4 linked regions of the Notamacropus eugenii genome follow. Each later gene encodes a partner of the first gene's protein in a complex. Links are inferred from orthologs where the notes say so. Each region holds a gene or a part of one and is shown in the gene's direction. Other genes may lie near its edges. The genes, in order: PIGH, PIGC, PIGP and PIGA.

Evidence for each region.
Region 2: PIGH (region 1) and PIGC share a complex: the UniProt entries of both Homo sapiens proteins name them as parts of the glycosylphosphatidylinositol-N-acetylglucosaminyltransferase (GPI-GnT) complex. The link is inferred for Notamacropus eugenii from reciprocal best matches to the Homo sapiens genes PIGH and PIGC.
Region 3: PIGH (region 1) and PIGP share a complex: the UniProt entries of both Homo sapiens proteins name them as parts of the glycosylphosphatidylinositol-N-acetylglucosaminyltransferase (GPI-GnT) complex. The link is inferred for Notamacropus eugenii from reciprocal best matches to the Homo sapiens genes PIGH and PIGP.
Region 4: PIGH (region 1) and PIGA share a complex: the UniProt entries of both Homo sapiens proteins name them as parts of the glycosylphosphatidylinositol-N-acetylglucosaminyltransferase (GPI-GnT) complex. The link is inferred for Notamacropus eugenii from reciprocal best matches to the Homo sapiens genes PIGH and PIGA.

The regions. Positions count from the first base shown.
Region 1 is NC_092872.1:312,546,736-312,554,733, forward strand, and holds the start of PIGH (phosphatidylinositol N-acetylglucosaminyltransferase subunit H), read left to right. Parts: upstream 1-4,986; 5' UTR 4,987-5,116; coding exon 5,117-5,296; intron 5,297-7,998. UniProt on the Homo sapiens protein: Part of the glycosylphosphatidylinositol-N-acetylglucosaminyltransferase (GPI-GnT) complex that catalyzes the transfer of N-acetylglucosamine from UDP-N-acetylglucosamine to phosphatidylinositol and participates in the first step of GPI biosynthesis.
Region 2 is NC_092873.1:473,945,529-473,952,939, forward strand, and holds the start of PIGC (phosphatidylinositol N-acetylglucosaminyltransferase subunit C), read left to right. Parts: upstream 1-4,377; 5' UTR 4,378-4,558; intron 4,559-4,649; coding exon of another isoform or gene 4,650-4,712; exon of another isoform or gene 4,713-5,069; intron 5,070-5,559; 5' UTR 5,560-5,630; intron 5,631-7,411. Other genes in the region: C2H1orf105 (uncharacterized protein C1orf105 homolog), read right to left, coding at 2,245-2,311. UniProt on the Homo sapiens protein: Part of the glycosylphosphatidylinositol-N-acetylglucosaminyltransferase (GPI-GnT) complex that catalyzes the transfer of N-acetylglucosamine from UDP-N-acetylglucosamine to phosphatidylinositol and participates in the first step of GPI biosynthesis.
Region 3 is NC_092876.1:420,370,363-420,377,687, reverse strand, and holds the start of PIGP (phosphatidylinositol N-acetylglucosaminyltransferase subunit P), read left to right. Parts: upstream 1-4,316; 5' UTR 4,317-4,405; intron 4,406-4,451; exon of another isoform or gene 4,452-4,619; intron 4,620-4,767; exon of another isoform or gene 4,768-4,978; 5' UTR 4,979-5,000; coding exon 5,001-5,082; intron 5,083-7,325. Other genes in the region: E3 ubiquitin-protein ligase TTC3, read right to left, coding at 2,758-2,832. UniProt on the Homo sapiens protein: Part of the glycosylphosphatidylinositol-N-acetylglucosaminyltransferase (GPI-GnT) complex that catalyzes the transfer of N-acetylglucosamine from UDP-N-acetylglucosamine to phosphatidylinositol and participates in the first step of GPI biosynthesis.
Region 4 is NC_092876.1:374,805,775-374,813,554, forward strand, and holds the start of PIGA (phosphatidylinositol N-acetylglucosaminyltransferase subunit A), read left to right. Parts: upstream 1-4,747; 5' UTR 4,748-5,175; exon of another isoform or gene 5,176-6,343; intron 6,344-7,780. UniProt on the Homo sapiens protein: Catalytic subunit of the glycosylphosphatidylinositol-N-acetylglucosaminyltransferase (GPI-GnT) complex that catalyzes the transfer of N-acetylglucosamine from UDP-N-acetylglucosamine to phosphatidylinositol and participates in the first step of GPI biosynthesis.

The DNA.
Region 1 (7,998 bases):
GTCATATCTCCTTTTACAAGAGAGTTTTTCCACTAGTAGGCAGTTTTGCTTATGACAGAATCAGAATTTCAGAGCCAGAAAGGTACTTGGTAGATGTCTAGTCCAACCAGTACTTAAAAAACAGTTCCCGTTATAGCAGTATTTTCTTTATGTCAGAAATCATTTTCCTCTGGAGATGAATGGAGGAAGAAGCAGAAATTTTCTTTTTAAAAGAATTGTCCCTTTTATTATTATGAACGTCACAAACATCAATAAACATGAACATTTGCCTCTATAGAGAATAGAAAAAAACTGTATAAAAACATGAATCCCCATGAAACACAGCTTATTTTTTGTAATATTTCACTTAAAAATATGGCTTCTACATAGTTCTAACACTGCCCTACTTGTCTGTGCCCTCTTCTGAACATCTTTCTGCTCTTATTTTTTTAATGATTCATTGCTCTTTTCTTTCTTCATTTTAATATCACTCTGTCCACATTGCTCCATTCCTGCCCCTACCTAAAATGTTCCTTTATAACTAGTCACACAAAACAAATCCACACTTTGGCCATGCCTGAAAATGTCCCATGCATCATTTCTAAGTCCATCACCTCCTTCCCAAGAGTGGGTAGTATACTTCATCATTAGCCTAACAGAGTCCTAACTGATCAGAGTTAAGTGTCTATCAGTCTTAAATCTTTCAAAGTTGTTTTTCTTTACAATGTTATAATTATAAAAATTATTCATCTGGTTCTGTTCAATTCACTCTGCATGTTTACATAATTCTTTTTTTTTTTGAAAATAAGTCTCTTTTGTCATTTCTAAAGAAGCAATATGTTCATACACCATAATTTTGTTAGCAATTCCCCAAGTTACTACAATCTCCTGTCCCCCTCCCCCCGGTTATTTTCAATTATGAAAAAATGCATTTTTTTTTTTTTTTAGGGCAGCTAGGTAGCACAGTGGATAGAGTGCCTGGTCTGAAGTTCAGAAGACTCATCTTCCTTAAGTTCAAATCTGGCCTCAGACACTCACTAGCTATGTGACCCTGAGCAAGTCACTTAGCTCAGTTTGTCTCACATCCTCATCTATAAAATGAGCTGGAGAAGGAAATGGCAAACTAAGCCAGTATCTTAACGGTTTAGAGATAGGCATTAACATTGCTTAACAGTTTACAGATAGGCATCAAGGATCCAGTTAGATAACTGAGGCTGTATTTCACAATATGCCAAATATTGGAAGTGCTTGTGGTATAGTGAAAACATCACTCCGGATTCTAGTCCCGGTTCTGCCACTTAAGTAGCTGTGTGACCTTGAACAAGTTGCTTTTTTTAGGGCCTCAGATTTCTCATCTGGAAATGAGAGGGTTGGTACAAATGGTGTTTCTAGTTCTAACATTGTAGGTATATGTTTGGTTTCTAATTAATATTCCTCCAGAATCTTATTTCCTGGTCATTTGTGTTTTAGAAGAGTCATCTCTTTTGAGATGACATTTATTTCTGTACCCTGAGTAAAAAAAAAAAACAACAACAAAAAAACACCCCTTTGAGACAACTGCTAACCAGTTTTTTTTGGTTCATAATTGTGAATTTAAAATACAGTCTTAATAAGCAATAATATATTTGTACATGTGATACATCTTCTTCGATCTGCTTAGGGATTTTAAGATTAGTAATGATATTATTAGTGGTTTAAAGTGTAAATTTTGGGGTACAGCTCCAATTCCAAACTGCCTTCCAAAATGGTTTTAACACTTCACAACTTTAGTGCATTAGTGTGCCTGTCCCTCCAACAATTGTTATTTGTCATTTTTGCCAATCTAATGAAGGTGTGGTAGAATCTCATTATTTTTTCTGAGGCTTTGCTTGTAGTTATTGTTGGGTTACTCTTTTGGGTTTACCTCTTGGGTTTCTCTCAACCCACAGTATTTCTTACAATGTGTTTTTGTTTTTTATCCTCAGTCCTTGGACTGTGATTTTTGTGCTTGGGTCAATCCCTTCTGACACTCTTAAATAGGTTAGGTACCATTCTCTCTTTTGAATGCTGCCACTGCTGCAGATGATGTGTCTGGTATACAGCACAATCTTTTGCCTCAATTCTTGACTTAGTCCATTGTAGATTCTGGTCTGGTCAGGTTCTACTTTGTCCTTCCGTGATCCCCAATCAATAGTTGGTTCTCTCCTGTCAGACTCTGACAGACTTGAGTGGGTTATTGAAGATCACGTTGGCATCAGGCTTCATGCACAGTCCTTTTGGCATTAGCGTTCAGGACCTGAATTGGCCCCATTTTTTGCTATGGCCCCCAATGCTTTAAGTAATATACAACTAGGTCCTGTGTCCTTGGGCAGTAGCTTAAGGACATTCTGTCCCTCTGCTACTATTCTACCCTGCCAGGGTAAGGATATAGCTTTAGGTTTACAATGTCTGGAGCTCTTGAGCTGGCTTGTAAGTCGCTGTTGAGAATTGTGGCAGGTTTCAAGTCCCTTTTTGGTTGCTTGTGAAGGCTTTCCTGGTGGAGCTCTTCTTAACACTTCTGAAGACTTCTACATTTACCTGAGCCCACTTTCTTTCCTGACTACCTCTATTGGCTTTTATTAGTTCTTGGCTATCTTTTTGTGACATTCTAGTCTAGGTGGAAAAATTCTGTTTCTTGTTTTATCATTGGTATTTCTGGGATCTTTAGGCTTTTTGTGGGATTCTCTACAACCTTTCCCACTCCTGTCTTTTAACTAGAAATGTCAAAAAATGAGGATTTTCAAACATATTTGGCCATAAAAATGACTGCTGGCTCCAGTAGCACTATTAAAATTTGGCTTTGTCATAAATGGCATAAAAATGCCATGTAAGTTTTTTGACATACTTGAGGCATATGTTCATTACATCAGGGTATGACTACAAAGGGGGCTCTAAAGCTCCCTTTGGGGATAATGAGACTAATATACTTCTGGGCACTGGTGGGGAGGAAGGATTTTTAAACAGGACCTGAACTTGGTCGCTACTAGTCTTCTTGTCTGGTACATCAGTCATTTTTCTCTTCCATGGAGAGGTAGGAATTTTCTTAGAGATGAGTTATGAAAACACTTGCTATCTCCTGAATTGTTATGTCTTTCCGTAAATGATCTAGTTCTCTGGTGTACCTGAGCCATTTTTCTCTTAGCAGAGGAGGGCTATGAAGGGACCTTCTGGCATAAGGAGACTGGTTTGCAGGTTTCTTTGATGATTATCAGCAGTATTAGGTAAAGGAATCTTTGGGAGCCAATGCTGTTTCCAGCGGAAAATCGCTGTCATCATGGAGATTTCAGTCTAGCTGAAGACTTGGTGGCTAAGGTATGAAATGGTGGCACCCCATGAACAGGACATGATCAGGCCTGGTCAAGCAGGAGAAACATCATTACCCTCATTGACACACTGCTTCCAGGTCTGAAGAAAGAAGAAAACTCAAGAGGCAAGAGGGTGTTTTTCTATGCTACTTCTCTACTTTTATCTTTAACCCTTAACACCTGCTTTAGAATGTTGCACACAGTAGGCCCCAATAAATTTTTGTTGTTGATTACTGTTAAACTCAACTGAGTAAGGAGTTGGATATGTCCTTCGATTATCAGTTACATTGACTTTTGCACTTGAAGAAATCTGTTTACTACAAAGATCTTCTGAAAAAATACCGATCTCTTGCTGCTCTATATAAGTTGCCCTCTTGTACCCTCCAGGAAGCTTTATAGTATAGTGTAGTTTAAGTTTTTAAAAGATCTCAGAATGTTCGCTGTTTAGATCTTGTTACCTCCTATCCTCTAGTTGGGGCCCAAGGAAGTGGCAAGTAGATGAATTTTAATAAGGAGCCAGATTTTATAAGAGAACCTGAGATGCTAGGATTTAACTGAGAAGAGGTTTTAAAGATTTTTTTTCAGCATCATTTATGCTTGAGAAGTAAACATTCACTCTTTTCAAAAAAAAGTACCTTCACTAATAAAACTGCATTTTAAATTCACAATTATGAACCAAAAAAACTGGTTAGCAGTTTTCTCAAAGGGGTGTTTTGTTTGTTTGTTTTTTATTCATGGTACAGAAATAGACACGTCATCTCAAAAGAGATGACTCTTGTAAAACACAAATGACCAGGAAATAAGATTCTGGAGGAATATTAATTAGAAACCAAACATATACCTACAATGTTAGAACTAGAAACACCATTTGTACCAACCCTCTCATTTCCAGATGAGAAATCTGAGGCCCTAAAAAAAGCAACTTGTTCAAGGTCACGGAGCTACTTAAGTGGCAGAACCAGGACTAGAATCCGGAGTGATGTTTCCACTATACCACAAGCACTTCCAATATTTGCATATTGTGAAATACAGCCTCAGTTATCTAACTGGATCCTTGATGCCTATCTGTAAACTGTCAGCTCTGCCAGACAGGCCCTCCGTCCAAGTTATTTGTTTGGTAGGCATACAGCCTTCAGGTCTACACTGATTTTGGATGGAAAACAAGAAATCCGAGGGCAGTTTGTGTTGGGCGCCTCATCTGCTGCGGGTGGCAGGCCAAGGTCAATATACTTGACCATTCTCCCCATCAGCGGTGGCTCTGCCAATCTGCGCATGGCAGCTCCACTCACCATTTCTACGGCTGGGCATCTACTACTGAAAAGACGCCTCCTGAGGAGCACGTTAAGAACGTGTCAGCCCCAGTGTCGACAGCGGTATTCCCAGGCCAAGCTCCTTCCTGAGTCCGGGCTTCCTCTCCCCCTTCTCCGGGGCTCCGCGCGTCGGCCTCCGGCTGCGGCCCCTCCACCTCAGGCTGGGGCGGCGGGAGCTTGCGCAAAGCCCGCACCCTCACATACCTCGTAGGCGGTGGGGCAGTTCTGAAGTCTGGCGGTTTCCGCAGACCGAGGCCGAGAGGCGGCCGCCTTCGCTTTGCCCCCGGGTAACCCAAGGAAACGGAAGTGGAGGCCTCTGAGGGCACGTCACACCCGCAAAAACCCTTAGCTACCTTCCCGGCATAAATTACTGCGAAGAATCGCGAGACAAGGGAGGAGGCGGGACCGAACGTCCCCTCCTCCCCCCGCGGCCTGTTTCCGGAAGTGCGTAATGGCGATGGGCGTGGCCCTGCCGCGGGCTTGTAGAGCGCTGGGCTGCGGGCCATGGAGGAGCAGCGCAGCTTCTCGGACATCGACGGCGGCCGCCTGGCTCTCCAGCGCCGCTACTACTCCCCCTCCTGCCGGGAGTTCTGCCTCGGCTGCCCGAGGCTCTCGCTGCGCTCGCTCACCGCCGCCACCTGCACAGTGTGGCTGGTAGCCTACGGGCTCTTCACTCTCTGCCAGGTACGGGCCCTGCCCTCCCCGCCGGCCGGGGCTGCCGGGCCTGCCGGGCCTGGGCTCCCGACCGCTTCCCTTTGCCTCGGCTTCCTCCTCTGTAAAATGAGGAGCAGGCAATAGTTGTGAAGGCTTAGCCCTATATAAACGTCAGTTGTTACCGTCATGATCTAGGCCGTGTCCCTCGTGACATCTGTATCTATATGCCATAAATGGGAGTTCATCCCAGAGGGAAGGGCCTGGGGAGGGTGGATGGGGGGGGCCTTTCTCGCCCCTTGCAGGGGATGGAACGCTGACGTTGGGAATAAGGAGGAAAACTCTAAGCTTGAAATAAGGTGTGTCACGGAGGTAACTGGGAACTTTACATCTGTTATCCTGTGAACTGCCCAAGTGTATTTCTGAAGCACAGGTCTGTATATTTAACAGCCCTCTCAGAAAGCTTTCCATTGCCTTCATTAAAAAAAAAAAAAAAACCCTTTTTATTACCTCTTTAATTGACCGTGTTACAAAGCTAGCTGACATTCCATTCTGTCACCAGCTTATAATTATAAAAAGACTTACACCTGCTTGAGCCTGTACTGCCCAGGGCATAATTAGCAGGTAATAATTATTGGCATCTCCTTCTCCCTTGTTTTGACAAGCTCCCTATGAAAGCAGTGTGCAACATTCTGGATGAAGGCGAATTCACTTCACCACATGTTGGAGGCAAAGGTGATTTTGTCTTTGACAAGCCTCCATCGTCCAGATGCTTTATCTTGTATGTTCTGACAAGTCATTGAGAAGTAGGAGCTATCATATGTCAGAAGCACATCGGAATATGCTGCTTCTAGGACATCAAGCTTAAAATCTTGGTTACTGATCTAGCATTTCTGGCCCTATCAAAGCCGTGGATAGATTGGGCTGCTCGGCTTTAGTGAAGACCTGTCCAAAGCAGTAGTAACAAATTTTGTACAAGAGGACTGGACAGCAGTGGGGAGCTTTCCCAGTCCCTTCCATTGCCTTTAAAACAAAATATAAACTTCCATTTGACATTTACAGCCCTTCACAATCTGGTTCCAGTCTCTTTCCAGATTTACATATTTACTCCACTTACTACCATCTAGCCAAACTGGGCTACTTGCTGTTTCTGAAATGAGATACTGCACCTCTAGTCCCCGTTGCTTTACACAAGCCGTCCTCTGTGCCTGGAACATTACTTTCTCAAGGCCTCCTCTCAGAGTTCCTTCCTCCCTTGAAAACTCAGATCAAGTGCCACTTCCTACATCAGACGTTGCCTGATTTCCAGCCACCTTCCTTCAAATTAGCTCATATTTGTTTGATCTACATTTTGTATTTCCTTATGTGATCCTGTGTTGTTTTCCTTCATAAAATCTAGGCAGACTCCTTGAGGACAAGGATTGTTTTGCTTTTTTCATTGTATTCCCAACATCTGGCATAGTGGATCTTACTAAATGCTTGTTGATTGATTCTGGTACAACATAGAATAAGTTTATACCCTTTTCTACTGGACCATCCTTTAAGTGTTTGGAGACAGCTATTATAATGCTTCTCATTTTTATTCTTCCTGAGGCCAAAGTAGCCTGTTCTATGATGTGTAGTTTTCTGACCTGCCTCCATGCTGGTCACCTCTTCTCCCCCAACTCTCCATGTCTTAGTTATCTACTATGTGTCTGACTTAGGCAGCTGCCTAGGACTGATTTATTTGCTGAGGCTCATAGAGAGGTTAACGACTTCTCCTGTGTCACACAGATAGGTATTAATTTCAAACCCAGCCCTTTGGCCTCATCTGTTAATATCTATATCTAACATGTAGTACTTTAAGGTTTGTGAGGCATTTTACATGTATTATCTTATTTGTCCCTCACAACAGCCTTGCAGGATAGGTGCTGTTATCCATTTTACAGATGGGGAAAGTGAGGCTGAGAGAAATTAAGTGACTTTTTGCCCAGTGTCACAGAGCTACTAACAACCAACCACAGGCAAGATTGGACCCCAGGTCTTCCTAATTCCAAGTCTAGCATTCTGTCTTCTTTGTCACCTTGTTTGCATGACTCAATAACTCCATTTGGTTCATGAAAATCAAACATAATACTCCAAATGTGACTGAATACCATTACTACCTGTGTAATGTTGGGCAATTTACTTAGGCTCATGAGGTTTCATTCAGTTTCTTCATCTGTAAAACTATGTGTTTAGATAATCTCCAAAGCTCCTTATACCTTTAAATCCCATGACTTACTTTCTGTAATATGAATATTATACTTTAATACAAGCTAAGGTTGTGTTACCTCTTTTAGCCATGCCTTATTTAAAAAACTTAAGCACTGTGGATGCAGAATTAGGCATTTTCTTAGACTGTGTTCCAAAAGCTCAGTAGAAAGTAAGTTTAAAGCCCATTGACTTTTTAAAAGAAATTGACATAATGTGTTATGTGGTGGTAAGATTCTCAGACTTACTACAAAAACTACTTAACCTATATTGTAATTCTACTTGCCTGAATTCTAAGTCCTGGGACCATATAGATAAATAGTTTTTCTTTTCTTTCCTGATCAGGACCAGCTCTAAACAACATTTTGAAACAGGCAAAATTATCTTTGTTTCCCTTCTACCTTCCCTTCTAAAACCCAATGTGCTTTTCTTTCCGACTCACCAGTGCTGCCTTAAGCTTCATTCATTGTAATCACTATGTGATAGGACAGTTCCTGCTTCTC
Region 2 (7,411 bases), on another chromosome or scaffold:
TAATATGAATGTATATGTAGAGCCTATATCAGATTGCATGCCATTTGGTGTGGGATGAAGGAAGGTTATAATTCCTCTGTACTCTACACATTTGGGATATTGAGTTTTGTTTGGTACAATGTAGGCAGCTAAGGGCTACAGTGGAAAAAGAGACTGCATTTGGAGTCAGAAATACACTTGAATTCAAATCTGGCTTCAGACACTTGTACTAGTTTGTGTGACCCTGCGTGAGTCACTTGACCTCTATCAGTCTTAGTTTCCTCATATGCAATTTGTGATAATATAGCACCTACCTCATAGGATTCTTGTGAGGATCAAAAGAGATAATAAATGAAAAGTGCTTTGCAAACCTTAAAGCCCTTTATCAATGTAACGATTATTACGTTTTAAGAGGAGCATTGATAAGCTAGAGCATGTTCAGGCAATGATAAACTGGTAGGGTAAATGAGGGCCTTATAAAAGCATGTTAAATAAAGAATTGAAAGAACTGGGGTGCTTAAACTGTAAGAAGAGAAAGATTGGAAAAGAGGTGAGTGGGATAGGATAGTTATCCTCAGATATTTGAAGGGCTATCATGTGGAGTTATTAGATTGATTCTATGTGGGTCCAGAGGGAGGAATTAGAATTAGTGAATGGCAATTACAAAGAGGCAGATTTTCACTTGATAGAAAGGAAGGGCTTTCTAACAGTAAAAGCTACCTGACAATGGAATGTTTTGGCTTCCTACCTCAGTATGGAGTGAGTTCCCTGTCTCTGGAGGTGATCAATCAGAGGCTAGACAATCATTTACTAGTGCTATTTTAGAAGGGATTAATGAATCTCCCTGGGGGTTTATGATGTGAAGTTCTTTTTCAACTCTAGAATTCTATGTTTCCAGGATTCTGATACCAACGATAGTGTCACAACACCACAAAGTGCCATGACATGATTGGGAAAGAGTTCCTTAAGGGAAGAACAGTTTCCCAACACCTTAGTGGCTTCCAAATATTTCAAGGGACATTGTGAAATTCTATTTAAATCTTCCAATCAAAAAGATGTTTTTTTTTAATTCAACAAAGAAGTTTAAGTGCTTGGAAACTTGGAGGTGGAGTGGAAAGAAAGAGAGAGATAGAAAGAGAAGGAAGGAGAGGGAGAGAGAGAGAGGGAGAGCGAGAGGTAGAGGGAGAGGGAGAGGGAGAGGGAGAGGGAGAGATATTTTCATAAAATCAAACATGTCAAAATCTAATAAATTTGGAAATCATGGTTCAAGACTGTAATGAAAAGCTTGCAGTTAACTAACCAGGAAGAAGGAGGACATCCTGAAATATTTCAGGGACAGGAATTTGCTTCTGGAGACACAATGGTAAAGAGAGTGGTAAAGAGAGGGGAAGGCCGGTGGGTTTCAGCTTCCCCAATTTATCCTCTTACAGAGATCTGTCACCACTCCTACCATTTGTCTGAAAATACTGGCCAATCAGTTTGTATTCCCAGGTCAAAGAACCAGCCAGCCACATCTTAGCTTCACTCCCTCAGCATGTGCTTACAGAATCAGGTGCCAATGATTCTAGGTGAACCTGCAGATTTAGATACCTAGTGCTTTTAAGCTGGACAAAACAAACATTTCTAGCACAGAATAGCAAATGGGAATTTAGAACCCAGATCAAGAAATTCTGACCCAGTGACAAAATTCCAGATTCTCCATAACTCTCACTGGTCTATGGCAATGTTTCCCAAGCCAATTTGGCCACGAAGACATTTGAGTTTTGAAATACATCACAGAATCCATAAATGCTGGCCCAGGCTATGGTATAAATTGAGGAACAAGGTATGTCAAAGAATTTGGGGAGCAAAACAGAGGAATTTAAACCTATTCCCATGCTGAAAAATATAATAAACAATGAAATAAATAATTTTGATATATATATACACTTTCACATTTAACATTTAATATGAAAAAATTTTACCTTATAGCATTCATTTTATATATTTCAATTTGTAATGATATATTTTAAATATTTCATATTTAATATTTTAGAAATAAGGGTTCTCACTGAAACATTATTTATGACCTACAGAATATTAGAGTCCTCCCAGAAAATTTGGGAATCACTAATCTACTAGATATTTCTCTCCTCCAAGATGTTTTTGCCACTGTGCTAAATAACAGTTGAAAATGCTGGCTCGGTCATCTCCTGATTACTACAGCCTTGGAAGCTTCCTTAGGTGACCTTGAAACTTCAGTTCTTTAGTGGCTGAGTTTGTTACCTTTTTCGAAGAGTGATGAGCAAGGGTTTGTTTCCCACCAAGTAGGGAAAGGTATTTCTTGTGTCATACTTTATGATGGGGATTTTGAAAGGAACCTGGAGAGGAAGAAGGAAACCTAGTAAATTTTCACAACTCATTACATTAAATCATAATAGATCCCATTCCTGTCTTATTTTGAAGCTTACAAAGTGATTTCCTCCCAATAACTCTGTAAGGTAGTATTTTACAGATAAGAAACCGAGATTAGGAGAGATTAAGAGTATGTCCAGGGTTAACCTGCTTCCTAAAGAGGGGCCAGGAATGGATCTCAGGTCTTTCTGAATTCCAAGCCTATTGCTGCATGTCACTGGTCCTTCTCTTCCCATTAAACCAACAACCACTGGTACTCTATTGCCTCTAGAATCCAATCCAAACCCTCAGTTTGGTGCTCAAAGTCCTTCTAACCACTGACTCCCCACCACTTTTCTTACACCTAACTCCTTGCTGGTGTTTTTCAAGTCAGTGACACTGGCCTTCTGGCTGTTTCATGAGTAAGATACTCCACTTCTTGGTTCCTGGCATTTTCTCCGGCTGTCCTCCATGTTCCATGCCTGGAACACTCCCTCTCCTCTGCTCTCTCTCTTGGCTCCCCTGGCATCCTTAAAGTCCCAACTAAAAATCTCATCTTCTATAGGAAGACCCTCCCAATGCCTCTGAAGTCTAGTGCCTTCCCTTTGTTAATTATTTCTTTTGCATCCTGTATACACCTGTTTGTACATATTTGTACAAAAACACATTTTGTTGTCTTTCCCATTAGATTATGATCACTTCAAAGGCAGGGAGAGTCTTTTGCCTCTTTTCCTATGCGTAGGGCTTGGCACAGCGCCTGGCACATAGTAAGTACTGATTGACTGACCAACTAACTCGCCAGTTGTGTTAGACTAAAGTCCTAACCCTCGTCAAGATAACTTATTGTAGCCACCAAAAAAAGTGGGCTGGTTTGGGGGAGAAGACCTGGGTCTGAACCTTGGCTTTGCCATTTACTACAAGTAAATCATTTACCATCCCTGGCTTCAGCTTCCTTCCCAGTAAAATGAGAAAGTTAGACTAGATGACACCAAGGACTCTCTCTCAGCAGTTTCCAGCCCTCTGCCACCATGAAAAGAACTGCTACAAATGTTTTTATATAGACAAGAAATATAGATACATTGTTTCTCGAATCTGTTTGGGTGAGGTCAGAAAGCACGCAGTCTGGCAGCTGTGGGGCAGACGCGTTCACGTCCTCTGTTCTCCCAGTCTCTACAGCGTCTGTCCTCTCCTTTTCTAGGGTCAGCTCTGACAGTCTGAGGGTTTAATGCGCATTTTTGTATTAGTGACGGGGTGTTTGTTCATATGGCTGTTGACAGCTTCGATTTCTTCCCCCGAAAACTGCCTAGTTGTCTACACTGCGACCGTGAAGTGGGGGCACCGCATGCCGTAGAGATGGGCACGACCTTGGAGAGCTCCGCAAGCCTTGAACCCATCCATCCCCGCAGAACCCCTGCTGCCCACACACTCACAAGCGCTCTCTCTTTCCGTGGGAAACGCGCCTGTTTTATGGTCCCCACAGGAGGCAGTGTGCTACCGTGGCCCTGGGTTCGAGTCCTGTTTCCGTGACTTACTACTTAGTATGACGTTGGGCCAGGGGATCTTAAACCGGGGGGGGGGCCTTGATTTCCCCCCATTACTTAACAAGAGTATTTAAACGATTCTCTGGTTAAGGACCCCACAGGCTTCGGCCGACCGTCCGGGGGGTCCCAGGCAAACTCCTCCTCCTCCTCCCCTCCGATTCCGGGGTTCGAGCCTCGGTAAAAGCCCCAGGTGCACAGGAAGCCCTCGGCGGCCCCTCGCAGCGCCGCGGTCTGTCCTCATTGAAAGTGAGTGTCTACGCAGTGCGGGTGTAGACAGGGTGTAGACAGCGAATACGTGGTGTCCACACCGCCTAACTGTGTGGCAAAGATGTCTGGGCACTTTTCAGGTCACACTTAGCGACTCCACCAAAGCTTAAAGCTCCGCCGAGCCTCTCGGGGCAGGCCGGGGAGACGCGGGGTGCGGCACCCACGGAGCGTGCGCGCGATCTCCCCCGTCAGAACGCGAGGTCCTCGAGGGCACAGTTAGGCCTGCCCTTCCCTCGCTCCGCCACCAGGGGGCGAAGAGGGCGCATCCCTGAGGCCGCCGCGCCAAAGGAGGCCCCGGCCGCGGTTGCGCAGTCGGCGCGAGGGCCGTCCCAGGAAGGAGTTGGGAGGACGTGGCTTTGACCGTGACCGAGGGGAGGAGCCTCCGCCGGGCCCTACAGGTAGCGGGGTGGGGTCGGCGTCTCCGTGCCCCCCATCACTGCTGGCCCCGAGGGTGGGGGTTGGGCGGCAGGGGGGGCGAGGGTCGTCTACCTGGGGTGAGGACGTCAAATGATGGTTGGGGCCGGGGACCCCAGACTTCCGCCTCCAGGCCATTGGTCCTCTCTGCTTATTTTACGGTGTCGGGAAAACTGAGGCCCGGGGGAGCGAGTCCAGTCACCCCCAGAGTCCGCCCGCCTGACGTCTTAAAGGGCCCATGCTCTTTGGAGACTCCGCTCTAACCCTCCCTTCTGCGGAGACCTCCCTCCCTCCCACTTTTCCCCCCCTTCTCGTGACGTTCCATTGACCCCCGGTTCGATTCGTTTGGGATCTCCCGAGTTCGGGCGCTTGAGGCCCTTGGGAGCGCGGGATCGGGTGGGGGTGGGGCCCTGTCCCTTCAGTTCTCCCTCTTGGGTGTAGCCCTGGACTACTCTGCCCTGCGCCACACCGCCCCCTAGAGGCCCCCTCGTAGCGGCCCCCTGGCCCTGCTGTGCCCTGCGCCACACCGCCCCCTAGAGGCCCCCTCGTAGCGGCCCCCTGGCCCTGCTGTGCCCTGCGCCACACCGCCCCCTAGAGGCCCCCTCGTAGCGGCCCCCTGGCCCTGCTGTGCCCTGCGCCACACCGCCCCCTAGAGGCCCCCTCGTAGCGGCCCCCTGGCCCTGCTGTGCCCTGCGCCACACCGCCCCCTAGAGGCCCCCTCGTAGCGGCCCCCTGGCCCTGCTGTGCCCTGCGCCACACCGCCCCCTAGAGGCCCCCTCGTAGCGGCCCCCTGGCCCTGCTGTGCCCTGCGCCACACCGCCCCCTAGAGGCCCCCTCGTAGCGGCCCCCTGGCCCTGCTGTGCCCTGCGCCACACCGCCCCCTAGAGGCTCGGACCCCGCCGCCCAAGAACCCCCGGACACGAGCCCTTTGGGGCTTTCGGAGGGCGAGGCGCTGAGCGATTGATGCATCTGTCTCCTTTCACAGAGGAGGACACGAGGCTCTCCGAAGTTAGTGGCTGGTTTACAGTGTGTGAGAGCCGGGCGTGTAAGGAGCAGGTAGGTGGGAGGCTGTTCGGGAGAGACCTCAGACAGCTTGGTAGGCACATCTTTCATGAGAATAAGGTGTGGGCGCCTTGCCTTGGATTACTGCATTTTAGACATGCTCGATAAGTCATTCCAAGGCCGTTTGAAATTCATCTCAGGTTTTTAAAAGAGTCCTCTGCTTTCAGTAGGTTATGCTGAGCATCCTGTTAATGCTTGCTGGGGGCATTTGGCCCTAGAGTCGGAAAGACTCATCTTCCTAAGTTCAGATCTGGCCTCAGACACTAGCTGTGTGACCCTGGGCGAGTCATTTCCCCCTGTTTGCCTCAGTTTCCTCATCTGTAAAATGAGCTGGAGAAGGAAATGGCAAACCACTGAAATATCTTTGCCAAGAAAACCCAAATGGGGTCATGAAGAGTCAGACGCCTGAACACTTCCATTATGTTTAAGCTTATTTGTGTTGGCTCCTGCTCTTGTTACTACCCTAGGATTTGGGGATTGTAGATTTAGAACTGGAGGGTATCTTAGAAGTAGGGATATACTGGTTAGTGTTTAACAACTGACTTTCCAAAAAAAAAAGTATGCATGGCACACTTTTAAGCTTAATCTGCATTGTTAACCGTATCTCCATCACTTTCTAATGTCTAATCAGACTACAAAACAAATTAAGTTCTAACTTGTAGTATTTCTCCATTTCCAAGGTCGTGCTGAGAGTTTAACAACCAGCTCTCCTAGGCCAGAGTGAGCTGGCTCTAGCACATCCATGCTTTCTTTGAAGTCCTGCATTTGGCATTTTATATATGATGAAACTGATCCACATTCACATATATAATAAGAGACAGGTCTGGATTCAAACCCAGGCCCTCTGACTCTCAAGTCTAAGGTTTTGGTTTTTTGCCCTAGTTGCCTCCCTACTGAACTATTCAAGTTGGAGTAGTACATATTCCCGGGGTGAGAGCAGGTTTTAATGACATTTACCCTCCTAGGTTAGGGAGCAGAACCTACCAGAACTCTGAGCACCTCATTTGAGGTCAAGTGAGAAATTCATGGAGTCCTAGGTTCTTAGAGATGGAATGGACCTTGAAGGTCACTCATCCTCATGCCCATGTTATATAGAAGAAACTGAATGGTTAATAGATACTGAATAATAACCTGAATGGTTATATACCTAATTGTAGGCAGAGATAAGGCCAGAACCCAGATATCCTTATTTTTAGACCTACCTGACTGCCCTAATTAGAGTGATTCTATCATTGTAGTATGTGGCAGTGGACCTGAATGTGGAACACTGGGTGATGATGCCCCCTTCTCTGCCACACTCTGGGAGTTCTGAGCCCTTGCTACAACATGAAGAAGTTTGCCTCGGGGTCTCCAGTTTGCTGCCACTGATGATGTCAAAGATATTCCCCCGGCATATTCCCCCAGCATCTGAGCAATAAGCTATTTTAAGGTGTCATTCCTGTTTGGATATAGAGCCCCAGGAAAGTTTCAGATCCTTAGTTTCTCTATCTGTTAAATGGGACTAACAGTACCTTCACAGGAATATTGCAGATATGAAAGGGTCATAACTATTTTTAAAAAGAAAAGAAAGAATCTCTGACTCAGTTGACAGATGAATATTCTTTGGCCCTGTCCTGAGCAAAATGTCTTATCTTTATATGGCTTATAACCCTACTAGATTATAATATCTTACCAAAGTTTGGTTGCTTTCCTAGCACCTAACACATGGTAGGTGAGGAATTAATATTAGTTAAAAGGAAAAGGATCTAAGGAAAGCCGATAGTGATAATTTATTT
Region 3 (7,325 bases), on another chromosome or scaffold:
CAAAAGAGTGCTTATATACAAAACTTATAATCAAGTCAATTTAATAACAATATTTTTAAATCACAAGTAATGTTAAGTTACTTCATATACTTTCCACACTGTTTAAAATTAAGAGACAAGATTTCCATTCTAATACAAATTTGCAGTGAATGTATTTCCTGAGCTCAAACTACAGTTCCATCATTGGAACTTGATACAAATACAAAAGAAATTTCAATATGTTCATTTAAATGTGCAAATGAAGAACTTTTACCAACCTTCAATTGGAAGTGATTAATATGCAACGTAATGACTTGCTAAAAGGCAACTATCAAGAATCTAACAGGATTACATAAATGTCTTCCAAGAGCCAAATATGTTAAACAGTATATATTCATAGGCTGATATCAGTATTTGGCAGTACCTATCTGTGTGAAAAGCCATTTTCAAAGATGAAATACATAAAATACCATTACAGATCAGCAATAACAAATAAACATCTGCAACTGATTCTGATGACAGGGAGTAATAGCTTTGAATTCCAATTATGTGAAATATCATCTCCCCTAGAAAAGAATTTCACTCTTCTCACTAGTTGATCTGTATTACAAAATAAACTAACTGTACATGTTATTATATTTTGAATTTCATCCATTAAAACTGTTTGTAAATTTGTTTTCTCATTATATAAATATCTACAGAATACTCTCAATTTGGCTATTGGCCCACAAAGTCAAAAATATTTACTATCTGGTCCTTTATAGAAAAAGTTTGTCAACTCTGATCTAGTCCACTGAAGCTTCATTTTTTTCCTCTATAGAATTATGCTGAGTTATGCCAGCTAAGTCATTTGTGGTTCTAAGTCTGATTTGGGGGCATCTCTAGAACAGGAACTTTTTTAATATTAATTTTACATTAGCTTCTTTGGGTTATCACTCTAGCTTTGTGCTAGGACCAGGGTTCTCCCCCCGCTGTACTCTTGGGTAGGCTCATTGACCTTCCTTGGTTTTATCCTTGTTCCTGAGTTAGTGTTAAATATCTATTTTCCAAGACTGGGACTGTCCCTCTTTGTCCCAGATCTTTGATGTTCAGACACTGGATCTTCAAGGCCCTCTACTGCTCCTCAGAACAGAATGTTATGAATCTTGGAGCCCACCTGGGGACTTTCTTGGGTGACCTCACTGCTTTCCCTGCTTCCAGACCAAGAGTCAAGCGGACTACATGTGACTGTGGCCCGGGTCTGGTTATTCTGGGAAGCTACTAACTTGTGGATGAGTTTTTTGGCTTTGTTAGTATCCTTTATTCCTATTGCCCTTGGGCTTCTGGCTGAATTTTTGTGCAGTTCTGGGATGAAAGAAATCACTCTAGTTTCTCATTGGATTTGATTATTTGGGGGTCTGATGTAAATTTTAGGCTTTTATTAGACAAGGTCAAGCATCCATCTTAGCTGGAATCCATTATTAATTTTTTTTTTAACAAAGATCTCTTTTATATTCACTGCTCCTCTACTGAACTCTTATAGAAGTGGCGCAGGGCTTTCACATGCTAACACATATAAGGCTAACACATCACAGACTCTACCTTCCCACCAAATAAAAGACATCTGCAGTCTGACATTTAGCTTAAGTTTGGAGAGCTTAAAACCAGGTTTTTAGCTAAAAAATCACCTTTCAGAGATTGTCCAAGAGAAATCAAAAAGCTGCAATATGAATCAGAGAATGAAGTATCAACCACAAAGAGAAAAAAAATTATAGATCCTATAAGTAGTGAAGTAAGCCTTCAGAGATCCAAATTCCACACTGAAAAGTGTTAAATAAGAACCTCTGGAAGTTCTTATGCTCCTGCAATAGTTCTGTAAATCCTGCAGCAACAGAATGCAAGTCCACAATAAGAGATCGCTGGAATCATTGCTTGAATATAGCTATCAAAAAAGTCAAGTACCAATCAAACACACAGTAATTTATCTCAGGGCTTAGATACAAGGGTAAAAAATACAAAGATAAAAATGAAGTAGTCCATACCATCAAATAACTTACAATTCTATCAAGGGAGATTGCAACAAAGTATATATGGGATGGGCCCCACCACAGCTGGGGAGGATCAGGAAAAACAAGCTAGGAAGTAGAACATGTCACTTGTCCTTTCTTCCTCTCACTCTTTTCTCCTATTGGGAATTTCTTATTTTGATCATTTCATCTGTTCTCATCAGAGAGGATCAATGATTTTAATAACTGGCTGATAAAAGGAAAAATGTGATTTCTTATAATGATTTGCCATATGAACCAAACTTCTCTTCTACATAAAGCTACTTTTAATTTCTACCCTCAACATACACCCTCACCAATAATGAGGTGAAGTAGACAAAATGTAGAAATTAGAACCAAGAAGACTTGGATTCCAATCTCACCATAGGCATTTAATAGCCTTGTGACCCTGGACATGTTAAACTTTTCTCAGCCCTGATTTCCTTATCTATAAAATGGCACTATAAAATGGCAATAATAACAGCACCTACCTGCAAAGGTTGTTGTGAGGACCAAACGAAACAATATAGGTTCAGTGTAAAGGACTATATAAATCCTACCTATTATTATCACCATCATCCTCCTCCCTTTTTAGTTTCCATCATCTCACACACTTGTTCTTTTTGGGCAGCTCCTTCCCTTTTTCAGCTTTCTCTTCAAAAGCACAGATGGCATCACAAATCACTCTGAATGACTTACACATTGGCTTTGAATATGAACTTTAAAATGCATTTGATTTTTTAAAAAAACTCACCTGTTCACAGCAAAGTTTAGTAATGCGAACATAACTGCTGCCAATTAAATCTGCCTCAGAGATGGAATTCTCCATTGCGCATGATCCTAAAGGCCAATAAAAACAAACTCCAAATCAGTAAACAATACAAATTATGAAAGTGAATCTTATCTTTGTCACAATCAAAACAACAATAGAAACAGCCACTCATTTTTACAGTTCCTGAAGTGGGTGGAGGGGAGTTTCAGTGAAAAAAAAACACTGGCTCTGGAGGCAGAAGATCCATGCTCAAATCTCAGCTCTGGGCTTCCAGTGAAACGAAAATATGAGAAATTGTAAAGGAAACCAGATTTTCCATATACACTCCAGTTAAGATCCAAAGAGCACCAGACTAAGAGAAATGCAGATCAAAATAACCTTCATCCTAATTCTTATCAAACTGGCAAAGATGACAAAGGACAGTCCATGCTGGAGGGACTGCAGAAACACCAAAATGCGTTGTTGGTGGAGCTGTGAACGGGTACTATTCTAGAAAGCTATTGAAAGTATCTGAAGAAAGTGATAAAAAAAGTTCACACCCTGGAATCCAGACACTTCACACCGGGCACCGCCCCCCGCCCCCCCCCCCCCCCCCCCCCCCCCCGATAAAGTCAAAGACGGAAAGAAGGGATCCATACAGGTCAACCACACAAATGTAATGGAAAACCACTTGGTTGTAGGATAAAGCGAAAACGTAAAGAAGCTCGCTCTGACGCAGAACACGACAGGAGCTCGATCAGGACCAGGAACTACCCGGGGCAGTCCTGCCCACCAAACAACTCCTCCGGGCACGTCCACAGGTGTGGAAGGGGGTCAGCTCGGCGCCTTAATCCCTTTTCCTTCCTAGGACACGGTGGTGGCAACGGCTCTCTGGAGGGGCAGGAGGGGCCCGGGAGGAGCCCAGGTGACGGACACCCAGGACGCAGTCACAGACCCGAGGGCCGGGGCCCAGGCGGGCCGGAGCCGGGCTGCAGGAGCGGGAGCCGCGGAGCCCAGCCCTCCCATCCCGCGGCCGGCCCCGGGGGGCTCCCGAGAGGGGCCCGGACGCGCCGGGAAAGGCCCTGCCGGGTCTCTCAGTATTCACCTGGGGGGAGCGGAGGTGGACGGGGAAGGGAGGGAGGCGAGCGGGGCCGGGGTGGAAATGGCAGCCGGGCTGGCCGCAGGCTTATTTCCTGTCAGCAGACGACCGGCCGGGGCACACAATAACAAGTGGCTGGGGAACACGGCGCTGGCAGCCTCCGATGGGGGGCGCGGATGACGGGCACGACGACGGAAAGAGCAGGTAGAAAGAACGCGCGTGCCACACACAAAGACATGCCGGACACACACACGCAGGGCACCTATCCACGCACGAAGGGTGTGTGCAGACACGCAAGTCAGACAACACTGGCTGCGGGAAGGCCACGGGCTGGCAGAGGCGAGAGACGCGCAGATGTACACGCATCCTTACACGGACACACGGACACACAGACACACGGACACACACTCACCGGACACGCCACGAGCGAGCTTTAATCCGCGTCCACGTCCAGAAGCAGGTCTCAGTCCGGAGGCAACCGTCAGGACCACGTCACTGACCTCCAGAGCGGGGAGGGAGAGCCGCGGACGGAGGAAGGAGGCCGGCCGTCACGTGAGCAGCGCGCAGGCGCGCCTGGCCCCGCCCCAGCGCCCGCTCTTCCTTCTCCCCCCTTCCTCCCCGCCCCCTCTGCCGCAATCCGCCCCGCCCCAGAATCCCGGCGCCCGGAGCAGAAAAGCCCCCCTCCCTCTCCTCCCCGGCCTCCTGGGTGGCACCTGCGCACACAGGTTTGGCCTAGAGCTTCCGAAGCCGGCAGGCAGGAAAACTGGTGCGTCACAGTGCAGAGAAAAGGGGCCCCCTGCTGTGATCTCGCCTCTCCCCCTCCGCGGCGGCGCCCCCGAACCCCCCCAGCCCCAACCCTGGAAGGAAAGGCAGGGTCCCCGGGAGAAAATGAAACGTGCCCTGGGCCCCCGTGTCCCTGCAGGTGCCCCAAAGAGGCGCAACCCCGGGGGAGCCCGGCTCCAGCCGCGGAGCCTCGCCCGAGATCCCCGCCGTACGTGGTCTGCGACGGGAGGACGAGCGGGGCGAGCCGAGGCGGTCCGGGGGAGGGGAAGGGCCGAGGGCGCACCCACGCTCTGCACGGGGTCAGTGGCGAGTGACCCGCTGTCTGGTGCTTCCCGCCCTCAGGTTCCCCAACGCTCCGGAGGCTATGGTGGAGAATTCCCCGTCCCCGCTGCCGGAGAGGGCCATCTACGGCTTCGTCCTGTTCCTGAGCTCCCAGTGCGGGTTCAGTAAGTACGGTTCCGACGGAGCGCCGGGTCCAGACCGGCCGGGAGGCTCCTCGGGGTGATACCGCGAGCTGGTGACACCCCGGGGTAGGGTCCAGCCTGCTGCACCTTGGTGTCACCTTAGGGTCTGTGGGGCACGGAGAGGGACGTGGAGATTGTGCCGTGCGGTGCTACCTGCGTGAGCCGCAGCCCCTGACCTCCGGGCCCCTTGTGTGGAGTGGGCTTGGGAACGTCTCATTTAGGGCATTCCCCTTCCCTGCGCATACCCGCCGCACCTAGCTGAGGCACTCACAGGAAGGCCAACGTGGATGGCCGGAGGATGCCCAGCCAACGTGGGGTGAACAGGCCCCTTCCTCCCTCCCTCCCTCCTCCTCCTCCCTCCCTCCCTCCTCCTCCCTCCCTCCCTCCTCCTCCCTCCCTCCCTCCTCCTCCCTCCCTCCCTCCCTCCTCCCTCCCTCCCTCCTCCTCCCTCCCTCCCTCCCTCCTCCCTCCCTCCCTCCTCCTCCCTCCCTCCCTCCTCCTCCTCCCTCCTCCTCCCTCCCTCCTCCTCCCTCCCTCCCTCCCTCCTCCCTCCCTCCCTCCTCCTCCCTCCCTCCCTCCCTCCCTCCTCCTCCCTCCCTCCCTCCCTCCTTCTCCCTTCCTCCCTCCCTCCTTCCTCCCTCCTTCCTCCTTCCTCCCTCCTCCCTCCCTCCCTCCCTCCCCCTCCCTTCCTCCTCCCTCCCTCCTCCTCCCTCCCTCCTCCCTCCCTCCTCCTCCTCCCTCCCTCCTCCTCCTCCCTCCCTCCTCCTCCTCCCTCCCTCCCTCCTCCTCCTCCCTCTCTCCCTCCTCCCTCCCTCCCTCCTCCTCCTCCCTCCCTCCCTCCTCCTCCCTCCCTCTCTCTCCCTCCTCCCTCCCTCTCTCCCTCCTCCCTCCCTCCCTCCCTCCCTTCCTCCCGTCCCTCCCCCCTCCCTTCCTCCCTCCCTCCCTCCTCCTCCCTCCCTCCCTCCCTCCTCCCTCCCTCCCTCCTCCTCCTCCCTCCTCCCTCCTCCTCCCTCCCTCCCTCCCTCCTCCCTCCCTCCCTCCTCCTCCTCCCTCCCTCCCTCCTCCTCCCTCCCTCTCTCCCTCCTCCCTCCCTCTCTCCCTCCTCCCTCCCTCCCTCCCTCCCTTCCTCCGTCCCTTCCTCCCTCCCTCCTTCCTCCTCCCTCCTTCCTCCCTCCCTCCTTCCTCCCCCCCTCCCCTCCCTCCCTTCCTCCCTTCCTCCCTTCCTCTCTTCCTTCCTCTCTTCCTTCCTCCCTCCCTCCCTTCCTTCCTTCCTCCTCCCTTCCTCCCTTCCTCCCTTCCTCTCTTCCTCCTTCCCTCCCTCCCTTCCTTCCTTCCTTTCTTCCTTCCTTTCTCTTTCTCTCTCCCTCTCTCCCTCCCTCTCTCCCCTCTCTCCCTCTCTCCCTCTCTCTGTCTCACTGTGTCTCTGTGTCTCTGTCTCTCTGTCTCTCTCTCTCTGTCTCTATCTCTGTCTCTGTGTCTCTGTCTCTGTGTGTGTGTGTCTCTCTCTCTCTGTCTCTCTGTCTCTGACTCTGTGTCTCTCTCTCCCTCTCTCTCCCTCTCTCTGTGTCTCTGTCTCTGTGTCTCTCTCTGTCTCTGTCTCTGTGTGTGTGTGTCTCTCTCTCTCTGTCTCTGTCTCTCTGTCTCTCTCTCTGTCTCTGACTCTGTCTCTCTCTCTCTCTCTCTCTCTCTCTGTCTCTCTCTCTGTCTCTGTCTCTGTCTCTCTCTCTCTCCTGGACCCTCCTGGCTTCAGAGTGATGATCAATAGTCATTGTTGCTCTGTGCAGCCCTCGCTCAAAACAAGTCATGTCATCATTTCTCTGATGACATGCTCTTTGAAAACGAAGGACGAACACAAACAAAACCTACCATGAGACATTTTGCATTACTGCTTAGAGGATTGATCCTGCCTCTCATGCATATTAGTTGAGGAAGCGGGTAAGTCACCTGCCTTCAGATTACCCCAGCAGCTTGCTGAGATCAACTACTGCTGATTTACTGATTTGCGGTAGTGCATTATGGCTAATTTCTAAACAGGGAGTTCCACACAGTGATGAAATCACATCTGGACCTGATAATATTTACAAAAACTAAATTGCAGACCTTTTCAGAAACATGTCAGTTCTGCAAAGTGAACCATAACTCTTTATAGACAGTGTTTGAAATCTGGGGTTATGGAGATCTCTAGTCTACAATCGAAAGTTTGCAATTTGAGCAGTTGCACAGCA
Region 4 (7,780 bases), on another chromosome or scaffold:
AAAGTATTGTTGTCCCAGAAATACCCAAAAGTCTAATATAGAAGAAGAAACAAACTCCACGAGTAGAAGTAGAGACTTAGAGAAAAAAACTGCTCATCCACAAGGTCTACAAGGGTTCCTAGAAGAAATGAAGGAAGAGTTAAAAGATGAAATTATAAATGAAATAAGATCTTTGGAGGAAAGGCATATCAAGAGAATATGTGACTTAGAACAGTAAGTGGTAAACCCAACCCAAGCATAATAGGCCAGGCTTCACTTATGCTGGTTAGGACACTTGAGATGAAGACTGGAACAAAATGAAAGCTTTGTAGAATTCTGACAATTAACAAAAGGAGGTTTAATTAGTTATAGCAGAAGGAGGATATTAAAAGCAGGGCAGCCAATATAGATCACTGACTCAGTTGCATGTAGTTTTCTTGCCTCTCTTTGGGGTCCAGTTCCTGCTGATTTTTGTACTTAGCTCACCAGGAAGTTATACCAAGTCCAGGACTTTTGTCCCTAAACTAAACCTTAAAGATGATTCCAATATTTTTTAAGGAAAAATATGTGGAGGAGGCCCTGCAGAACACTTTTCCCACCCACCAAGTAACAGACTTCATGAAATTTAAATGAACCAAGTTGAAATTAATGACTATGAGAAATTAAGAAGTACTGGAACAAAATAAATAATTGAAAAGATAGTAGAGAATGTATGAAATGTAATAAGATCAAAACAGCTGATCTCAAAACTGGTCAAGTAAAGATAATTTAAGAATCATCAAATTTCCTAAAAGTCATGGCTTTCCATAACTGTGCTGATTCCCACTCCTGCACCCCCCAAAAAGCTTGGATACCAAGAAGTAATCAATAAGAACTGCACAGAATTTTTAGAACCAGAGACTAAAGTGAAAATAGAAAGTTAATAAATTATAGGGAGAAAAAGACAGTAAAATTATAATAGTTGGAGATCTCAATGACCCACTTTCAGACCTAAACCAAAAAGAAAAAAGATCTAAAAAAAAAGATAACTTCCAAAAACGTTAGAACCTGATAGAATTTTATAACAGTAAAGTATGATAGATGTCTAACAATTACTTAATGGGATTAAAAAGAAATTTACATCTTTCTCAACCGAGCTTAGCACCTTTACAAAAACATTGCATATATTAGACCACTTGTTTTTCACTTGTTTCAATCATGTCTGACTCTTTATGATCCCATTTGGAGTTTTCTTGGAAAAGATAATGGAATGATTTGCCATTTCCTTCTTGGTTTATAGATGAAGAATTGAGGCAAATAGGGTTATGTGATTTGCACAGGGCCACAAAGCTAGTAAATGTCTGAGGCCAGTTTTGAACTTAGAAAGCTGAATCTTCCTGACTCTAAGTTGGGCACTCTATCCACTGTGCCAGCCCACATTAGGGCACAGAAATGTCAATAGGCAATCACAACATCAGAAGACTTATGTGAAAACTAGGGTTATTGCAGGAGAAATGAACATGCATGTGAAACCCAAAGAGGTCATAGTCCTTGCAGAATTTTGCATATTTATGAGAGTACAACAAAGGGGAAGAGAAAACAGGAAGGGGCATGGTAAGGGAGGGGAAAGGTACAGTAAAAAGGGCAGGACCAAGGAAATGGTGAAAGTCCAATTCTTTTCCCTTGGGAACTGCTTGACTATGAAGACAGGAGGGTCTGCTTATCTCTGCAAAGGACCTCAGGTGCACAAGCATTTTTCCCAGGGTGATACATACTGTCTTGCTTCCCAAGGACACACAGGGAATCCAGTTTGGGTGCAAACAACAAATTATGTCACGAGGGTAGGGTTTCCTCCTTGACACATTCAGGTCTTCCTGCGCTCCAGATGTAGTGACTCGAAAAAATGGCAACTCAAAAAGCCAAGTTCAGGGGACCCCTTAACAGAAGCTTCATAAACAAATGCAGAAAAGCTGAATTATCAGACCTTTACTGTCTAAGATGAAATAAAAATTATAATCAACAAAAACTTGAGGGAAGGGGGGCTCAAAGAACAAATCAGAGAAACAATTGATAATGACATCAAAAAAAGTAACAATAATGAGATAATAACCCAAAACTTCTGGCATGCAGTCCTTAGGGGGAAAACAAGACTATAATCAACAGCAATAACAAAAGCAAGCTGTGTATAACAGAAATTTAAACGCAATCCTCTTTTACTGCCCTACTTTGTATACAGAAATGCTGCTTTTACTTGGTGTTTGCCAAGTAAAATTTCTCATGTAAAAAAAATAAAAATTATTTAGGGAGAAAAATTGTCTTTCAGACTTTTTGGTGTAGGAAAGCAGTCACCCATTACTACTCCATAAATATTCCAAGTGGTTTTGTATACTGAGGCAACCTTTATGGTAACTAAAGAGACCCTGAAAGGAGCTGTTCCAAGGATGTTGCTGAAGATTGGTTTCTCATTCCAGCTCATCCCATGGTGGCATCAATTACTCTGCATTCATCCTTTGTTGTGCAAGAAGACCATACCATTGGAGAAACGATGACATGACTTGCACTTGACTTCCTTTTGAGTAAAGGAGGGCTCTGCAAGGTCACCAGCCTCACTTTCTCCTCCTGAGCCATCTGGGTCCAGTGACCAGATATTCATCAGGACGGCTGGAGATGGCCGAGAATGCAGTCAAGGGTGAGGTAACACCCAGTCAGTGAACAGGCCTGTAGTCAGGGGATGGCCCCTTTAATAAGGCAAAGAAAAAATAACTACCTCAGGCTGGGAGGAAAACAGCAACAGTTCCCACTGATACCAGTCTTAAGTCAGGAGGGTCTAGAAAACAGCCCTTAAGTGGAGCTGGGGCAGTGGTCTCGTGTGTTACAATCTGTGGGCTTCAGAGCAGGTTTAAGGGGAGGGGGAAGGGAAGGGAAGGATCGAGCCAGTTAGCCCAAGTTCCCTGGGCATCCTCTGGCCACCCAAACGTACCTTCCTTTGGAGAGGAGAAGGGAGGGGAGGGGGAGACAGACGGGACAGGGGCACCTGAGTCCCCATGCAGCCTTCGCTCTAATGAAGGCGTTGTGGAGATCACCACTAACGCGAAATGCAGATAGAGATATTCCAGTCTGGTGTTACTAGGGGTCCATCCTCACCTTGCTACTCTTTTAGGAAGAGTCTGGTTCTAAGTTCCCAGCCCTGAATGGTCCTCTAGGAACTGAAGGGTCGTCTTGGTGAATGAATGGGACGTCATTATTGCATAATTTATTTAGAAATGGATGTGACCTACCCAGCAAAACTGAGTATAATACTGCAGGGGAAAAATTGGTCTTTCAATGAAATAGAGGATTTTCAAATTTTCTTGGTGAAAAGACCAGAGCTGAAAAGAAAATTTGACCTTCAAACACAAGAATGAAGAGAACCATGAAAAGGTGAACAGCAAAGAGAAGTCATAAGGGACTTACTAAAGCTGAACTGTTTACATTCCTACATGGAAAGACAATATTTGTAACTCTTGAAACATTTCAGTATCTGGGTACTGGGTGGGAGTACATACACACACATGCACACACGCACACATACATAGAGACAGAGTGCACAGAGTGATTTGAAGAGGATGGGATCATATCTTAAAAAAAAATGAAATCAAGAAGTGAGAGAGAAATATATTGGGAGGAGAAAGGGAGAAATTGAATGGGGCAAATTATCTCTCATAAAAGAGGCAAGCAAAAGACCTATTAGTGGAGGGATAAAGAGGGGAGGTAAGAGAAAAACATGAAGTTTACTCTCATCACACTCCACTAAAGGAAAGAATAAAATGCACACTCATTTTGGTAGGAAAACCTATCTCACAATACAGGAAAGTGGGAGATAAGGGGATAAGCAGGGTGGGGGGGATGATAGAAGGGAGGGCATGGGGAGGAGAGTGCAATTCGAGGTCGACACTCATGGGGAGGGACAGGATTAAAAGAGAATAGAAGTAATGGGGGGCAGGATAGGATGGAGGGAAATATAGTTAGTCCTATACAACACAACCATTATGGAAGTCATTTGCAAAACTACACAGATTTGGCCTATATTGAATTGCTTGCCTTCCAAAGGGAAGGGGTGGAGAGGGAGGGAGGTAAAGAAGTTGGAACTCAAAGTGTTAGGATCAACTGTAATGTTCTTACCACTAGGAAATAAGAAATACAGGTAAAGGGGTATAGAAAGCTATCCGGCCCTACAGGACAAAAGAGAAGACGGAGACAAGGGCAGAGAGGGAGGATAGAGGAGAGAGCAGATTGGTGATAGGGGCAATTAGAATGCTTGGTGTTTGGGGGGGGAGGGGATAAAAGGGGAGAAAATTTGTAACCCAAAATTTTGTGAAAATGAATGTTAAAAGTTAAATAAATAAATTTAATAAAAAAATAAATAAATAAATAAAAATAAAAAATAATAATAATAAAAAAAGCATACTGAAAAAAAAAAAAAGAAATGGATGTGGACCGATTTTGTGATCTCGAAGGCACTCTGGGTTTATTAATCTACCATAAGCCTCTATTGATCGACACTTCTCAAGCTCGCCCTAAACTGGGCTGACGTTTAGGACTGAACAAGAAACAAAAAACTGTAACTAGGCAACGCTCCAGGGAAGCTGCCTTAGAGCCAACGCCGGGTTACGCCCTGAAGGGAGGAACTTGGAGCGCGAGGCACACTGGGACTGGTAGTTTTTTACAGGTCTAAACTAGCAGCTGCAGAGCCAAGCGAGTGCTGAACTACAGTTCCCAGAAAACACAAAGCGTACTTGCATAGCACTCTGGGATTGTAGTCTTGCTCTCGGCAGGAGGAGTTCCAGAAAAAGTGTTAGGAGAAATCAGGGACAGTCTCCAGGACACTCAAGAGATTTCCAAGACACGGATAACGCGGCCTTGGTTTGAGAAGGATTAATTCGCCTCTTGTAGCTGTGGTAGTTACAAGAAAGCAGCAGCCGCGGTGGCGAAAGCACGCCATGACGTCATCACCCTGCCCTTTACCCTTCCCCGGGACACGTGGTGCCCTCCGAGGGGGTGGAGAAAGGGTTCGGCTGCCGCGTCCCGGGAGTCGCGTGACCCAAAGGCCGCGTGACGATTGGTTTTTAGCGGGGCGGAGTCTCGGAAGCCTCGGCTGCCCGCCTTCCCGGGGGGTGGGCGGAGCCATGGCGGTGGCCGTGGGAGGGCTGGACGTCTCTCTGCTGTGGCATTCGTGGAGTAAGTGTCTGTCGGCCGCCTTCCTCTCCCTCCTACCCCTCTGCCTTGAGGTGCTTGGCAGCTTCAGGCCGAGCTTCGCCTTTGCCCCCGAATCGGGCATTGGGAGGTGGGAGAGAGGGCGGCTCCGGGGGCCAATCCAGTCCGGACCCCAGGGCGGCCCGGAAGTGGGAGTCGGGAGGGTCCCGAGCCCCGGGAGGAGGTGGGCCCCCCATGGGGCTTCGTGGCAGTCCTTCTGAGCTCCATTGGGGCCTTTTTAAAGGGAAGCGTGGAGTCAGGGCCCCCTGGTAGAGATTCCTGAGCCTTTGAGAAGACTCACGGTTCCTGTACACTTTTCTTGCCCCCACTGTCCCCCCGACGGCGGTGCTCGGTGGAAGTAACTTCTCCTCGGGGCCTCCGCGCCCCCCCTGCCCGTGCCTGCCCAGCGCTTCTGCTGGGTCGTCTGCTGCTCAGGAAGTTAAAGATTGAAGGTCACGATGGTCCTGCGCTGAGATTTGTTAGACGGCGTGGAGCTCCTTACAAAATAGCTCAGAATTCCTCGCAGATGTGTTCTTTTTTTTATTTTCTGGGGATGGGGCGAGGAGGACTGTGGGGAGGCGTTTGTATCAGAACGTTTGGAGTTAGGGAATCCTCCCTCACACGCTCAGGACCTAGGGTACCCTGAGCAAGCCGTCTAACTTAAGAACGTCACGGTGCTGATTCACCATCCGCCTTAGAAATCTGGGTGGAAAGTGCTTTGCAAACCCTCGAGTGTTACGTAGACGTGATATCCCTGTTATCTGAAACAGGGACTGGTGTAGCTTTGAAAAGTGGGAACTACAGGAGGACGAGCAGGCCCTAACTTTCTAAACTTTAAATCTTTCCACGTTATATAGAAGAATGGTCAGATGAATGGGCCAGAACATTTAGAAATAAGGTTTGAAAATATAGTTGGAATTGTTGAAAGTTATTGTGTTCATCCTTCGTTTTTGAAGAAGACCATGCCATCAGAGAAATGATGACATGACTTGCACTCGACTTTGTTTTCAGTGAGGGAGGGCTGTGCAGGTCACCAGCCTCACTTCCTCTCCTGGGCTGTCTTGGATCCCGTGAACAGATACTCCTCAGGAAGACTGGAGATGGCCCAGGATGCAATTAGGAGACCTTGACCTAATTAGGCAGGCCTTTTCAGGTACTCACTTAGAGGGAGGTAATGCCCATTGAGTGAATAGGTTTGTTTAAGAAGTAGTCAGGGGATGGCTCTTGGCCCTTTTAATGAACAAAAGAAGAAAAAATAACTAAATCAACCTAGGAGTAAAAAGGAGCATGAGGCATTGATTAAATGAAATGATTATGTGTATGGTTGGCTTTCCATACTGCATCCATGGGCCCTGGGCCTCTAACCATCACATAATTTAGACTCCTTTTTTGTTTAATTAATGCACTACCAAGATTACAATCATGCAGAGGCAAGTTAGTGTGCCTGAGTGGAAGCCTTTCTAGAAAGGAATGGATGTCTTTTAAAGTTTAATATATAGAGGTACCACCTCACATCTTTTAGAAGTAATAAATGCTGGAGGGGATGAGGGAAAATAGATACCGTAATGAACTATTGGTGAACTAGTGCGCTGAGCAGACTATTCTGGAAAACAATTTGGAACTATGTTCAGAGTTATAAAACTGCATATCCTTTGACCCAACAATACCATTAGAAGTTCTGTATCCAAAAGAGATCAAAGAAAAATGGAAAGTAACTACATGTCCAGAAATATTTATAGCAGTTCTGTTTGTGGTAAAGCATTGGAAATCAAAGGGATTCTCATGAGTTGGGGAATGACTAAACAAGTTGTAGCATATGATTGTGTTGGAGTACTGTTGTGCTGTGGGAAATGATGAGGTGGAGGACGTTGGTAGTTTCAGAAAAACATGGCAAGAACTGTATGAAATGATGGAAAGTGAAATGAGAAGAATTGGCATATCATAGTGTATTGTAAGACCAGCGCTGTAATGGTAGTCAGCTCTGAAAGACATGGCTAGAATGGTAACAGTGATCCAAGATAATTCCAAAAGACTTGATGAAAAAATGTTATCCACCTACAGAGAGAGAACTGATGAACTCTGAGTGCAAATTAAAGTATAATTTTCTCCCTTTATTTTTCTTGTTTGAAATATGGCTCATATGGAAATATGTTTTGTGTGATTTCACATTGATGTCATATAAGAGTGAGAGGGAGGGTGAAGATTTAGAACCCCACATTTAGAAAGAATGAATGCTAAAACAGATGATAAATTTAAAATATATTTTTTAAAAAGTATAGAGAGATAAGGAAAAATATAGATAAAATACATTTAAAAATTATTATTTATATTAATGGACCTGGAATTGTTCACTTGTACCCAACTTTTGGTGACCCTATTTAAGTCTTGGCAAAGGTATTAACTAAGATATTGGAGTAGTTTGCCATTTCCTTCTCCAGTTCATTTTACAAATGCGGAACTGAGGCAAACAGAGTTAGGTGACTTGTCCAGGGTCACGCAACTAAGAACTATCTGAGGCTAGATTTCAACTCAGGAAGATGAGTTTTCCTGACTCCAGGTCAGGCAGTTTATCCACTACATCACCTATCTG